Linked DNA regions of Coturnix japonica. The protein of the gene in region 1 interacts with the protein of each later gene in a biochemical or structural test. Links are inferred from orthologs where the notes say so. Each region holds a gene or a part of one and is shown in the gene's direction. Other genes may lie near its edges.

What was found. The genes of interacting proteins can lie anywhere in the genome.
Region 2: the proteins of PDZK1 (region 1) and SLC34A1 form a complex in vitro, tested with the Homo sapiens proteins (2 studies listed by BioGRID and IntAct, with this or other methods). The link is inferred for Coturnix japonica from reciprocal best matches to the Homo sapiens genes PDZK1 and SLC34A1.
Region 3: the proteins of PDZK1 (region 1) and SDK2 interact in a test that uses a peptide from one of them, tested with the Homo sapiens proteins (2 studies listed by IntAct, with this or other methods). The link is inferred for Coturnix japonica from reciprocal best matches to the Homo sapiens genes PDZK1 and SDK2.

The regions. Positions count from the first base shown.
Region 1 is NC_029516.1:83,003,511-83,006,736, reverse strand, and holds part of PDZK1 (Na(+)/H(+) exchange regulatory cofactor NHE-RF3), read left to right. Parts: intron 1-14; coding exon 15-276; intron 277-808; coding exon 809-945; intron 946-2,214; coding exon 2,215-2,410; intron 2,411-2,632; coding exon 2,633-2,829; intron 2,830-3,226. UniProt on the Homo sapiens protein: A scaffold protein that connects plasma membrane proteins and regulatory components, regulating their surface expression in epithelial cells apical domains.
Region 2 is NC_029528.1:11,928,456-11,932,753, forward strand, and holds the start of SLC34A1 (sodium-dependent phosphate transport protein 2A), read left to right. Parts: upstream 1-1,498; 5' UTR 1,499-1,608; intron 1,609-1,760; 5' UTR 1,761-1,774; coding exon 1,775-1,877; intron 1,878-2,014; coding exon 2,015-2,197; intron 2,198-2,361; coding exon 2,362-2,490; intron 2,491-2,560; coding exon 2,561-2,704; intron 2,705-2,787; coding exon 2,788-2,899; intron 2,900-2,976; coding exon 2,977-3,172; intron 3,173-3,378; coding exon 3,379-3,474; intron 3,475-3,608; coding exon 3,609-3,702; intron 3,703-3,884; coding exon 3,885-4,052; intron 4,053-4,298.
Region 3 is NC_029533.1:5,293,386-5,297,419, forward strand, and holds the start of SDK2 (protein sidekick-2), read left to right. Parts: upstream 1-1,234; 5' UTR 1,235-1,891; coding exon 1,892-1,970; intron 1,971-4,034.

The DNA.
Region 1 (3,226 bases):
CTTGTCCATTACAGGTGGTGGAGATTGTGAAGAACAGTGGAAATTCTGTTGTATTTCTTGTTCTGGATGAAGCATCTTATAAAAAGGCAGAAAAGGAGGGAGCGAATCTGGAAGAGTTGGGTCAAAAGGTGTCAAAAGGAAAGAAGGAGAAAAAGGAGGAGAAGCAGTCCACACTGCCCATGGCTAATGGAGCAATCACTGCCGTTCCACAACCACGACTCTGCTACTTAGTAAAGGAGGAGAAGGGGTATGGCTTCTCCCTAAAAACCACAGAAGGTGAGAGCCTAGGGAGGACAAATGGTATGCATATGACAGCCAGGGGAGGGGAGGGTACACAAAATGCTCTTGCTAACAGAGGGGAAGTAAGAAACAACAAGATCAGAATAGGCAAACCTTCAGGAAATCATCAACTACGAACAGGATACTTCAGAATGCAGTATAACCAAAGATCAAATGTCTTTCAGACACAGGAAGTGTGTAAAACAGCACTGAAAACAGCTCCTCTCTTAAAATGTCCAAAAAAAAGTCCCTTTCAGCCATCTTCATCAGCCCCTTTGGCACTCCTGGAAGAGAAATAAGACTGTTTGAGTTGCAGTAAAGAGAAAACCCATCTCCCTTTCCTATAGAAGTGCTATTTCCTGAGCAGAATAAGAGAAATAAGAGACACTGAAGTGGTAGTGCCACTACAATAGACACATAAGCAGAGACTTAAGGACGTCTAAGGACATCAGAGCTGAATCTTCTTAGCCATCAAATGCAAGCATGTTTCGATGAATTACTCCATGTAATGAGCTGTAATCTATTTCAGGTCACAAGGGGTTGTTCATAGTAGATCTGGCATCACAAGGAGCAGCTGCAAAGGCGGGTGTCCAAAATAAAGATCGCCTGATTGAAATCAATGGAAAAAACGTGGAAAACGACACACATGAGGAGGTGGTGGAAAAGGTATTTGTTTCCATACTGATTCATCTTCTGTTCTGGCCCATTTTCACAGCAACTTGTCAGGCTTACTGAGGAGGCAGGTCTGCCTAGTTCAAATGCTTCACAGCAAATCTTGGAAGCTTCTGTTTATACATTACTAACACAGCAGAGTACCCCTCTGCTTTGGCTTTGTTGTTGTACAGCCTCTTGAACTGACTCTGAATGAACGCTGCTGTCAAAACAGGCCAAAGAATTCTAAATATGAGAATTACACGAGTGCCAGAAACCGTATTAAATAAAACATGCTCTGTTCTTAGAAACCCTGGAAATTCTCCCATTAGTAAGAGGGCAAATAATTAAAAGTGGCTTTTAGGGCAGGAAGAGGAGTAACTCTCTGATGATGCAGGCAGCATGGAACAGGGTAAATGCATGATTTTAGACAGCAGTTCCTTTATTCTACTAAGAAGCCCAAGATTAATGAAAACTACACTACAAATAATTTTGCTGCCAGGCCTCAGCTGCAAAGAAAATTGCTAATGAGACTTCCAGTTCTCCACTGATGGCACTGCTAAAACAAAGATAGAGCTGAAGAGATTTCAGAGGGCTGGTCATGCTCTGGCATTCTAGCAACACAACTGAGTGTGCACTACTAACTATGGAGCTGTGCAACACCTGTGTTTTTTGGGGCTACAAACCATCAACTACAGTCACATTCATTCAAATGAGTGAAGGGGGCACCCACTGAACTAGAAAGCAGTTTGAGACAGATAGAATTAAAAGGAGAGGTTGAACAGACCAAAACTCTTCAGAGCCAGTCATACAAGGACACTGAAGCGGGACAGGAGTGTGACAGAAATGTAACACTAGGGCAAAGTTATCTGCTTGTTGATGCCAAAATAGTGATATGGATGGCATGACATGTCTGTCCTATAGAGTTTCAGGTTTAGATGAGAGTCAGGCACTATCTACTGAGGCTTAATGGATTTTACTGCCACTCCATGCCAACCCTATGGCTGTTAGGTCAATTCTACAGCTAGTTATTCAGAGACCTGGAAAACAGTATGAAATACAGGATGTTTCCTCATACACATGCAAGATTTTGCGTGTCTGAGATCTTGATATGGTCCAAATTACTAAGAAAAAAGGAAAAAAACCCTATAGTAGCCTCACCCAGACCTTCCAGCTGATGCAGCAGCAGTATTCCACTACTAGTGTATTAGTAAGCCAGTTACTGATGTAGCTACAGTTGTTTTTGAAGGGATCATATCTGTGACTGCACGTGTACTAATGCAGGTAAAGAAGTCTGGAAATCACATTATGCTTCTACTTTCAAATGAAGAAACAGACCGCTATTATACAAGCCAGAAGATGGTGCTGAGCAAAGAGAATGCCAACCTAAAACTCCTTCCTCATAAGCCAAGACTTATTGAGCTTCAGAAAGGAAAAAATGGTTATGGCTTTTTTCTACGGATGGAACAAACCACTGGTGGTAAGAACCAAGCTAACACACGGGCCATGACATTTGCGATACATTATTTCTGTACGGTTTGCAGGCCTCATTCTCCTTGTCTGGCTACTTAAAAAGCCTGTATTAAAGAAACTGTCTCAACCTCAAGCATGATTTCAGCAATAGCTTTTACCACACAAAATACCATTACACTTACCAAACAGTCCTTCACAGCCATCTTTTTTTTTCCCCTTTTGATCTTAGATCATGTAATCAAAGATGTTGATCCCAAGAGCCCAGCAGCCAAGGCAGGTCTCAAAGATGATGATATCTTGGTAGCTGTCAATGGTGAGCGAGTGGATGCACTGGATCATGAAAGTGTAGTGGGAAAGATTAAGCAGTCTAAGGAAAAAACCACACTGTTGGTAGTGGATAAGGAGACTGATGCCATGTATAAAATGGTAAGTAAACACAAGCTACTAGTAAGGACTCATAAATTATCATTAAAAGGAACAGAAGCAGCAATGAATCAATCTGCTCTGACAGAGACTTGTTCATCTTGCAGCAAAGGCCTAAGACATCCAGATTTCAGCAACTGTGTACCAAGTCACTAAAGATCCACATCTTTGGCCTCTCCCATGTTTTCAGAAGCACTGCTGGAACCATTCTAAATTTGAACACGCCATAAGAAAAGCTGGAATAGGACAGCAACATCAGAATTAAATTGTTGTGTAATCTTTTATGAGCAATACAACGTGGATGAACATTGTAGCTTTCCACTTAACCAGACATTAGTAGCACAGTAGCTCATTGCAACTTGTATCTCAACCATTAGGTTTCAAGCACAACATAATTAGC
Region 2 (4,298 bases), on another chromosome or scaffold:
GAACTGTTCCCCACAACCCTGCCCAGTGTCCATCCTGCTCCTGCAGGAAGGGGCAGCACCAGTAGCCTGTTTTCTCTGTACTGCTAGTGATGCAGGGGAAACTGTGGGGCTGGTAGGACTTCAGCCCCAAGGCTGTCAATGAGTGACAGCCCATCTACCAGGGCCTCTGCGGGTTAATGATTGTGGGGACAGCCAGGCAGCGGCCACCACATCCTCTGGGCACAGGGCACATGCGGCCACCAGCCTCCCCCACTGGCATTGCTGGGCATGGGGGGCCCTGACTGCAGCCCCTGGTCAAGGGACATCCATGCCCCTGCTGTTCAGGAAAGGCACACCGCAGTGTGCAGCCTAGTAAAGGACACGGGGTTCCTTTGCAGGCTTACCCACAGGCTGTCCCTGAGCACCAGCAGCCCCCTGGGTATCCTTGTGCCCATACAAGCCATTGTGTCTGGCTTATTTGTGCTTATGGAGATACCAAGTTACTCTGCAAACAATGACGTCCTGCTAGCAGTGGTGCACGGTGTAGCTGTCCCCTCCAGATCTGCCATGGCATGAACCCATGGGCTAATGGAGACGAAGCTCTACTTCCCAGCTGGGTGACCTGCTTGGCCCAGGGTCCCTTGTCCAGCACCACACACGTCCCCTGGTCCCCACTGCGCCAAGGGAGCAGCACGTGCTGCCAGGGTGATCCAGGCACAGGTCACGCAGTGCTCCATGCCCCAGTAGGCACAGTCCAGGGCACAGGGGGTGCCCTGACGCACTCTGGGCAGCAGCCATGTGGCACCAGCTGGACCCAGCTCCAGAGGAACAGAAGCAGCATGGCCATGCAGCCCCACTGTGCCCGCTCCCTTGCAGCAGCACTGGAGGGGCCTTTGGCCCCAGCTCTGCCCTTAGCTGCCATAGGCACGAGCTGGCCGGGCACCACGTGGATAGATGGAAACTTGGCGGAGGTGTGTAAACGAGGGGTAATAATAAACAGCACTGAGGTGCATTGACAAGCACACTGGCACTGCTCCCCTTCCACTCGACCTGGCATCGTGCATGCTGAGATAAAGCATTCTCTGTGGTGCGCTGGCACAGGCGACATGTCACCATCAGCGATGACACAGGGACCGTGCTGTGCCTGTCCTGCTGGCAGCATCCTGCAGCAATGCTGATGCAACCACTGCCACCACCCTTGGGCCAGGCCAGCAGAGCTGTGTGCATGGGGATGTGAGGCCACACACACTGGTAGTGGGACCTCCTCCTCCTCTCCTGCAGGGGATGAAGTGCACGGTGTGAGGCCGCCTTAGAAGTGGTGACACGGGGCCTTGGGCAGGCCAGGTGGGGTGCACGGGGCGTGCAAGGCACCATCCCCTGCAGTGTGTGCCCCATGCCACCCCCAGGACTGCGGCTGACATGGGATGCTGTGGGGTTACCCATTAACTGCAGGAATTTCTGGGGAGGAGGTGAGCAGTGAGCGGAGGCGAGGGGCAATGCCGGGCTCCTTAGACTTTGCTCTTGACGTGCATATAAAGGGCCCTGGTGCCCCGTGAGCCACTTTGCTGGAGGAAAGCATGGATTTGGCATGAGGACGCGGCGTTGCTCTGAGTGCTTGGCCAGCACCAGGTGAGCAGCACCCAGGGCAGGACAGTCTCCTGGATGGACAAGGGGATCACTAGGACGGTGCTCACTGCACCACTGCGTGGTTTTGGGGTGGCAGTGGTTGGAGCAGTGCAGATGTGGCCCCACCACAGTGACGTGTGGCTGCCTCTGCTCAGACTCAGCTGGAGTGATGCTGCCATACCGGAGGGAGAGCCCGGCCATGCCCCGCTGCCCAGTGCGGGGAGGAAGGGTGGTGCATGGGACCCCGTTTGCCTACTGCCCCAGCCCTCAAGGTAGGTCTCCCAGCCCTCCTCCTCACCACCTCCTTTCCATGCAGAGCTCAGCCCTGCTTCCCCACAGCAGGTGGGCTCCATGCCCAGCACCTTGAGAGGACAGGGCCATAATGCGTGTTTGATATGCCCGTACCCAGCTCTGCACAGGCTGCCGGGTGCCCACGCCTGCCCCTTCGCCGTGGGAGCAGTGACCTGCCCTGACCATGGCTTCCTGTGCCCTGGCTCCCCGGGGCGGCTGGTGGAGAGCCGGGAGCGCTACGAGCTGGATGCACTGCCATGGCAGGGGCCCCGCCTGGGCTTGGAGGAGCTGCAGAAGCCAGGTGAGGTCCTCAAGCACTGCACCCAGCTGGTGCAGCGGGAGTGGAAGATGCTCAGTGCCCTGTGGTGCTGCAGGCAGAGCAGAAGGAGATGTAGGGGACCCACAGACACGGCTGGGCATGCAGACTTGTGCCCAGCGTGTAACACTCTCTCTTGTCTTGCGCAGAGCTGGGCTGCTGGGTGAGGGTCCAGTCCATCTGTGTCTCCCTTCTCAAGGTGCCTCTGATGTTTGGCTTCCTGTACCTCTTCGTCTGCTCCCTGGACGTGCTCAGCTCTGCTTTCCAGCTGGCCGGAGGTACGGCCGTGGGCAGAGGGCAGCCAGCAGCACCCCGGCTCCAGTGCCCTGTCCTCATGCTCTCTCGCAGGCAAAGTGGCAGGGGACATCTTCAAGGACAACGCCATCCTCTCCAACCCCGTAGCCGGGCTGGTGGTGGGCATCCTGGTGACTGTGTTGGTGCAGAGCTCCTCCACCTCCACCTCCATTATTGTCAGCATGGTCTCCTCGGGGCGTGAGTGCACCCGTGGGGCTCCCTGGGGCTGGGGGCAGGATGGCTGAGGAGGATGTGGGGCTAGCAGGTCTCTCTGCCACCAGTGCTGGAGGTGCGCTCTGCCATACCCATCATCATGGGCTCCAACATTGGCACCTCAGTCACCAACACCATCGTGGCCCTCATGCAGGCTGGAGATCGCAGTGAGTTCAAAAGGTGAGCACTGATGGGGACAAAGGGACTTGGAGGGGCTGAGGGCTGCCCCACGCTGACACTCAGACTCCACCATGTAGAGCTTTTGCTGGTGCTACGGTGCACGACTGTTTCAACTGGCTGTCGGTGCTGGTCCTGCTGCCGCTGGAGGTGGTGAGCGGGTACCTGCACCACGTCACCCGCCTGGTGGTGGCCACCTTCAACATCCGCAGTGGGAAGGATGCCCCTGACCTGCTGAAAATCATCACGGAGCCCTTCACCAAGCTTATCATCCAGGTCTGCTTGGGTTGGCTGCGTTGTTGCCAGGGGTGGTCCTCCAGCGTTGGTGTCCCCATGCTAGCAATAATGTCCCTAGCGCCAATGTCCCTGATATGGCAGTTCTGCCAAAGGCCGGCAGCAAAGTCCCCATCACAGTGTAGATGTCTCCAGCCTGAGGATGCTGCCAGCCCCCCAGTGCCATCCCCTCCAATGTGTTGTTGCAGCTGGACAAGTCGGTGATCACAGGCATCGCAACAGGGGACGAGAGCCTGCGCAACCGCAGCCTCATCCGCACATGGTGTGGCCCTGCACCAACCCAGGTGAGGGGCTTGTGGCCTTGCTATGGTGCTGGGGGGGGCAGGCTGCCCCCCCCTAAAAGCTCCCCATGGAAGGCAGTGGGCTGGGGCTGGTGAGGATGCTATGGGCTCACCCACAGCCTGCCTGCTCCCTGCAGACAGCTGCCGGTGGGGTAGGGGTGCCTCCAAACTGCACAGCGTCTGGACATTGCAGCAGTAATGGGATCCTTCACAACGTCACTAGGCAGAAGTGTGAGTGGGTCTGGAGGGTGTGCTTGTAGGGCTGGGGGTTCTGGGGGTCTGGAAGCCCTGAGAATGGGGCTGAAGGAGGGCTGGGTGATGCTGTGGGGCTGTGCGGGGCTGCTTGGTGGGGACAGGTTTGTGAGCAGGGCTGGGCAGGCCCCAGACCCTCGCCCAGCCGTGCTGTGGGGCAGGCGAGCACCTCTTCACGGACACGCCGCTGCCGGACCTGGCCGTGGGGCTGGTTCTGCTGGCTGGGTCCCTCGTCGTGCTCTGCACCTGCCTCATCCTCCTGGTCAAAATCCTCAACTCCCTGCTCAAGGGGCAGGTGGCCAAGGCCATCCAGAAGGTCATCAACACTGGTGAGTGGGACAGGGACCACTGTGGGATGAGACTATGACCACCCTCGGCCCTCTCTGCTTGACCTCTGTCATCCCCCATCCTAACCTTACCTCTAACCCCAGCCCTGCATGAACTCCTGGCCCCATTCCTACCTGCTCCCTGCTCTATTTATGCCTATCACATCCTCCTGTTGTCCATACCCCCCTTCCCATCCATCCTTCCCAGCAGACTCCTGCAGCCCCAAACTTGGCCCTATACCCAGAACC
Region 3 (4,034 bases), on another chromosome or scaffold:
GCAGGGGCAGGTGCTGAATTTATGGCCCTGGAGACAGGAATTCCTGTTCTGCATGGAACAAAGCCCTGATCCCGCAGGGGGTTGGGAGAGTGCTGAGCACTTTGTGGCTGTTCCCCATTGCAACACATGAGTGCCGTGGGATTGGGGTCTGAGCCCACCATGGGGGGCTTCCTCTCTGCTCACTGCAGCCCATGTTGTCAGGGAACACCACCCTGAGAGGTGAGCTGGGCTCACAGCCTCCCACAGCACATCGATCCCCACTGGCTTGGTTGAGAATGCCAGCCACGGAGCTGATTAATGCTGGGGTGGGCAAGTGCTGGCTTATTGTTCAGCATCTCCTCAAGAGGTCGATGGGAAATTTGGCAGTAGCTCTCCAAATCTGCAACGTGAGCACAGGCATTGGCCCTCTGAGCACCGTGTGTGATTTACACGTGAGCATATATTGCACGGGGGGGGAAATATACTCCTGGTGCCCAGGAACTAACATCACTGTATTGATGTTTGCGTGAGAACGCTCCCTCAATTCCCTGCCCTGGTTTGACCCTTTGGTGCTGGGCTTTAGGCTAATCTGCTCATGCTTTTGCCCTGATCCTTGCAGGCCTCTTGGCTCAAAGGTGTTGTGTGTGCTCGTGGGTCTGATTCAGCATCCAGGTGTTCCCTCTGGCTGGACAGTTTAGGTCTGTTGGTGTCAGAGCTGCTCTCCTCCAGCAAATGCAAGGCACTGCGCTGACTCTGAAGGATGTGTGATCGTGGTCTGATCCTGCTGGGGGATCTGGGCTTGATAAATTGCAGGATTGGGCCTGAGGAGGTGATACGCGATTTGGGAGGCACTGCTGGCTCATCTCTTTGGCTGGAGATCTTGTTTTTCCAGAACCTCGCACCGTTTGCAGTGATAACCTGGTGGCAGCGAGTTCTGCCTGTGAGCTTCTCTATAGACTTGCTGCGTCCCCTCTCTAAGATGAGGTGCAGACGCTGAGTGCCATCAGTGCGGCTGGGGACGGTGAGGAGGGGGTCGCGTGGTGATCCAAAGCTGCACAGAGGGCAGCCGCTGCCCTCCGCCCCTCCCCCGGGGGGGGCTGCGGTGTCTGGGGTCGGGGGGGGGAGGGTGGTGGTCCAACCCGCTCCGTAGGAATCGTGGGCGGCCGAGGGGACGTGCCCGCCGCGCCCTCTCCCCCCGCATCTCCGTGCGCCCCCGTCCGCGGCCGCTGGGTAGCGCTCGGAGCCGCGCCGACTCCCCGCCTCCCCGGCTCGGGCTGCCCCCGGCTCCGCCGAGCTCCGCCGCCGCAGCTCAGGAGGAGCAGGGAGGAGGAGGAGGAGGAGGAGGGAGGCAGCCGGTCGGAGCGCCGAGTGGGGACGCACCGCACGCGGCTCCGAGCGGGACCCCGCGCCGCTGCGCGTCACAGCCGCACTTTCTCCTTTTGCTCCCCCCTCTCATCCCACCCCGTCTCCCGGAGCCGCCGGGGGGAGGATGTCCCCAGGCAGAAGCTGAGCTCCGGGGAGGGGCCGCCTCCCCGCCCCCGGACCCCAAACTTTTTTTCTGCGGCTCCCCATGGTGCCCAGGCGGGCAGGAGGGGCCGGGGGCGGACAACGCTGCGCTTCCTTTCCCCTTCCCTGAGGCGGAGGGCAGCTCGTGGGGAGGGGTTCGGCTGCCGGCCCCGAGCTGAATCGTCAGGGGTCCCTGCTCTGCACGTCTCTGGGGGAGTTGGACACGGCGGAGAGCTGTCTGCGGTTCCCCCCGACCCCATCGGGAGCTCTGCGCATCGCATCCGCCTCCCTCCGAGCAGCGCTGCCGCGGAGGTCCCTGCGCCGGGGGACCGGAGAGCAGAGAGCGCTGGAGCCGCTGCCGCTCGGATTATAAAGTCAGGGAAGTTGCCCCCGTGTCGGCGGAGTCATGGCCCGGCCCGGGAGTTGGGGGCTGCTGTGCGCCGTGATGCTCGCCCTGGCCGGCCCCCCGGGAGCCGGCGCCCAAGGTAAGTGGGTATGAGGGGGACCTGGTGCGGGGAGCGGCTTCTTCAGCCTCCAGCTCCTGCTTCGATGCTGGCGGTGAACCACGAGCGGGTGGGGGGCATTCCCTGTGCCGTCCCCGACAGACGAACCCCGGGAGCTGGAGGACTCTGGGGGCTCTCACCTTATTCGGGATGGAGAAGTTTGGGTCGCAGCCCCAGAGTTCGGGGAGGGAGTGGAGGTGTTTAAGGAGACCCCCAGGTGCCCGGGGCCGAACGGCGCAGAGCGTAGCGCGGTGCCTGGGGGGGACTCAGCTCTGCGCTGCCTCCTGCTTCTCCTGCCCTGTAACAGTCTCCGTGCTGGGGATGGGAGGCAAAACGTTGCTTTGAGTGCGGGGTAGAAATGCGTCAGCCCTTTCCCGAGGACCGGACACACTCGAAGGTGAGGGCACAGATTTCACCCCCCTCCCTGGGGACCCCACTTGTGCGCGGCACGAGTTCTGGGAGCGGCTCTTGCAGTGATTCTGGTCCCACTGACCTCCAGCGGGTGGGGACGGGGTGGGGGTCTGCAGCCCTGAGTCCCTGTGGGTGCTCTGAGGCTTCATGTGCTGGGCAGTGTGAGTGCCTGTCTGCTCATCACCTCCGGGGCTCTGGCACAGCACAGTGTGCGTTTGGCTGCTTGGAGAGAGGCAGGAATAGTTCCTGCCCCTTTGGGGTGCAGAGATTCGCAGGGGGAGCCCTCCTTGGGCTGCTGTCCCCTTCCCAGCAGACAAGCATCCCTGCAGGGCTGTGAAGGAGGTGCTGTCTATAGCAGGGCTGCAGCACAATCTCCTCCATCCCTGCTGCTCGGACGGAGCACATCCAGGCTGCAAAATGGGGGGCACAGAGGGGTGCAGTGCTGTGCCTGGGGCTCCTCAACCCACGACATTTCTTGCCCTTGTTTGCGGCAGCGAGTGGAGCCACAAGTCCCCATGCACTCCTGTCCTCCTGCTCCCCCTGAGCCTCCCTTAGTTCTGCTATAATTTCTCAGTAATTAAGTTCAGAACATAACATCTAAAGCGGCAGTATATTATCCGGGCAGGCCCTGTGTGGGGAGCTGTGAAGGTCTCTTTGATTGATTCACTCCCTTGCCGAGTTTCTCTCCTCCTGCCTGGCGGCTCCAGCTCACAGTCCCCCCATGGTCCGTTTGTTCCCGGCTGTGGGATGATCTCCTGCTGTGCCCGACTCCTGTTTGTCCGTGGGGCTCTGGAGCAGAGGAGAAAGGGCTTTGCTCTGCTCTCCTGGTGCACGATCTGAGCTGTGCATCCTGCAGCATGCTGCGTGTCCTGGCGGGTGGTGTGACATTGCTGGGAGCTGGCGTGGCTGAGCGCAGGCAGTGATGGAGCAGCGTGGGGAGCATCGCCTGCCTGTCCCCTATGGCTGGCTCAGGGACACTGGGGCAGGGTCACCTCCTGCTGCACATGGGCTGACAGCAGTCATTGCTGCAACCCAAGTGGACATGGGTGGAGGAGCTGCCCCATGGGTACAGTGCCTGTTGTGGCCTTTATCTCAACCCTGCTGTGGTGGGTTCCCAACAGGGACACCCCCATATTGTTGGTAGAGCTGATGGCAGCCCCATAGCCAGGCCTGGAGCAGAAGCAGCAGTGTGCTTTGTGCCAGTGCTATTGATTCTAGCAACTGAAGGAAATGGGATCAATAGAGATGGAGGGAGGAGGGCTTGAGACCCTCCCGGCAGGACGCGGGCTCCCCAAGCACAGGATGAAACACTTTTAATACCTGCAGTTGCTAAAACAAAGACTTCAGCACCACTGGGGAGAGATGGGATGGAAGTTTAATTACAGCCTGCCTGCGCTGTGTAATTATTAATTACCCACGGCAAAAAATAACTTATTGATTAGGGGCCTCGTGCTAATTACCTGGAGGTGAATGCGCTGTGGGTTGGAGCTGTCGCAGTGCGACCCTCACACAACGATGAGACAACAGAGGGTTCCCCAGGAGCTGGGGGTGCTGTTCCCATTCCTTCCCCCCACACTTTGTTCTGCAGATTTTGTGCCCCCCAGAGGTACATTTTTCCCTCAGCTGGGGGCACAG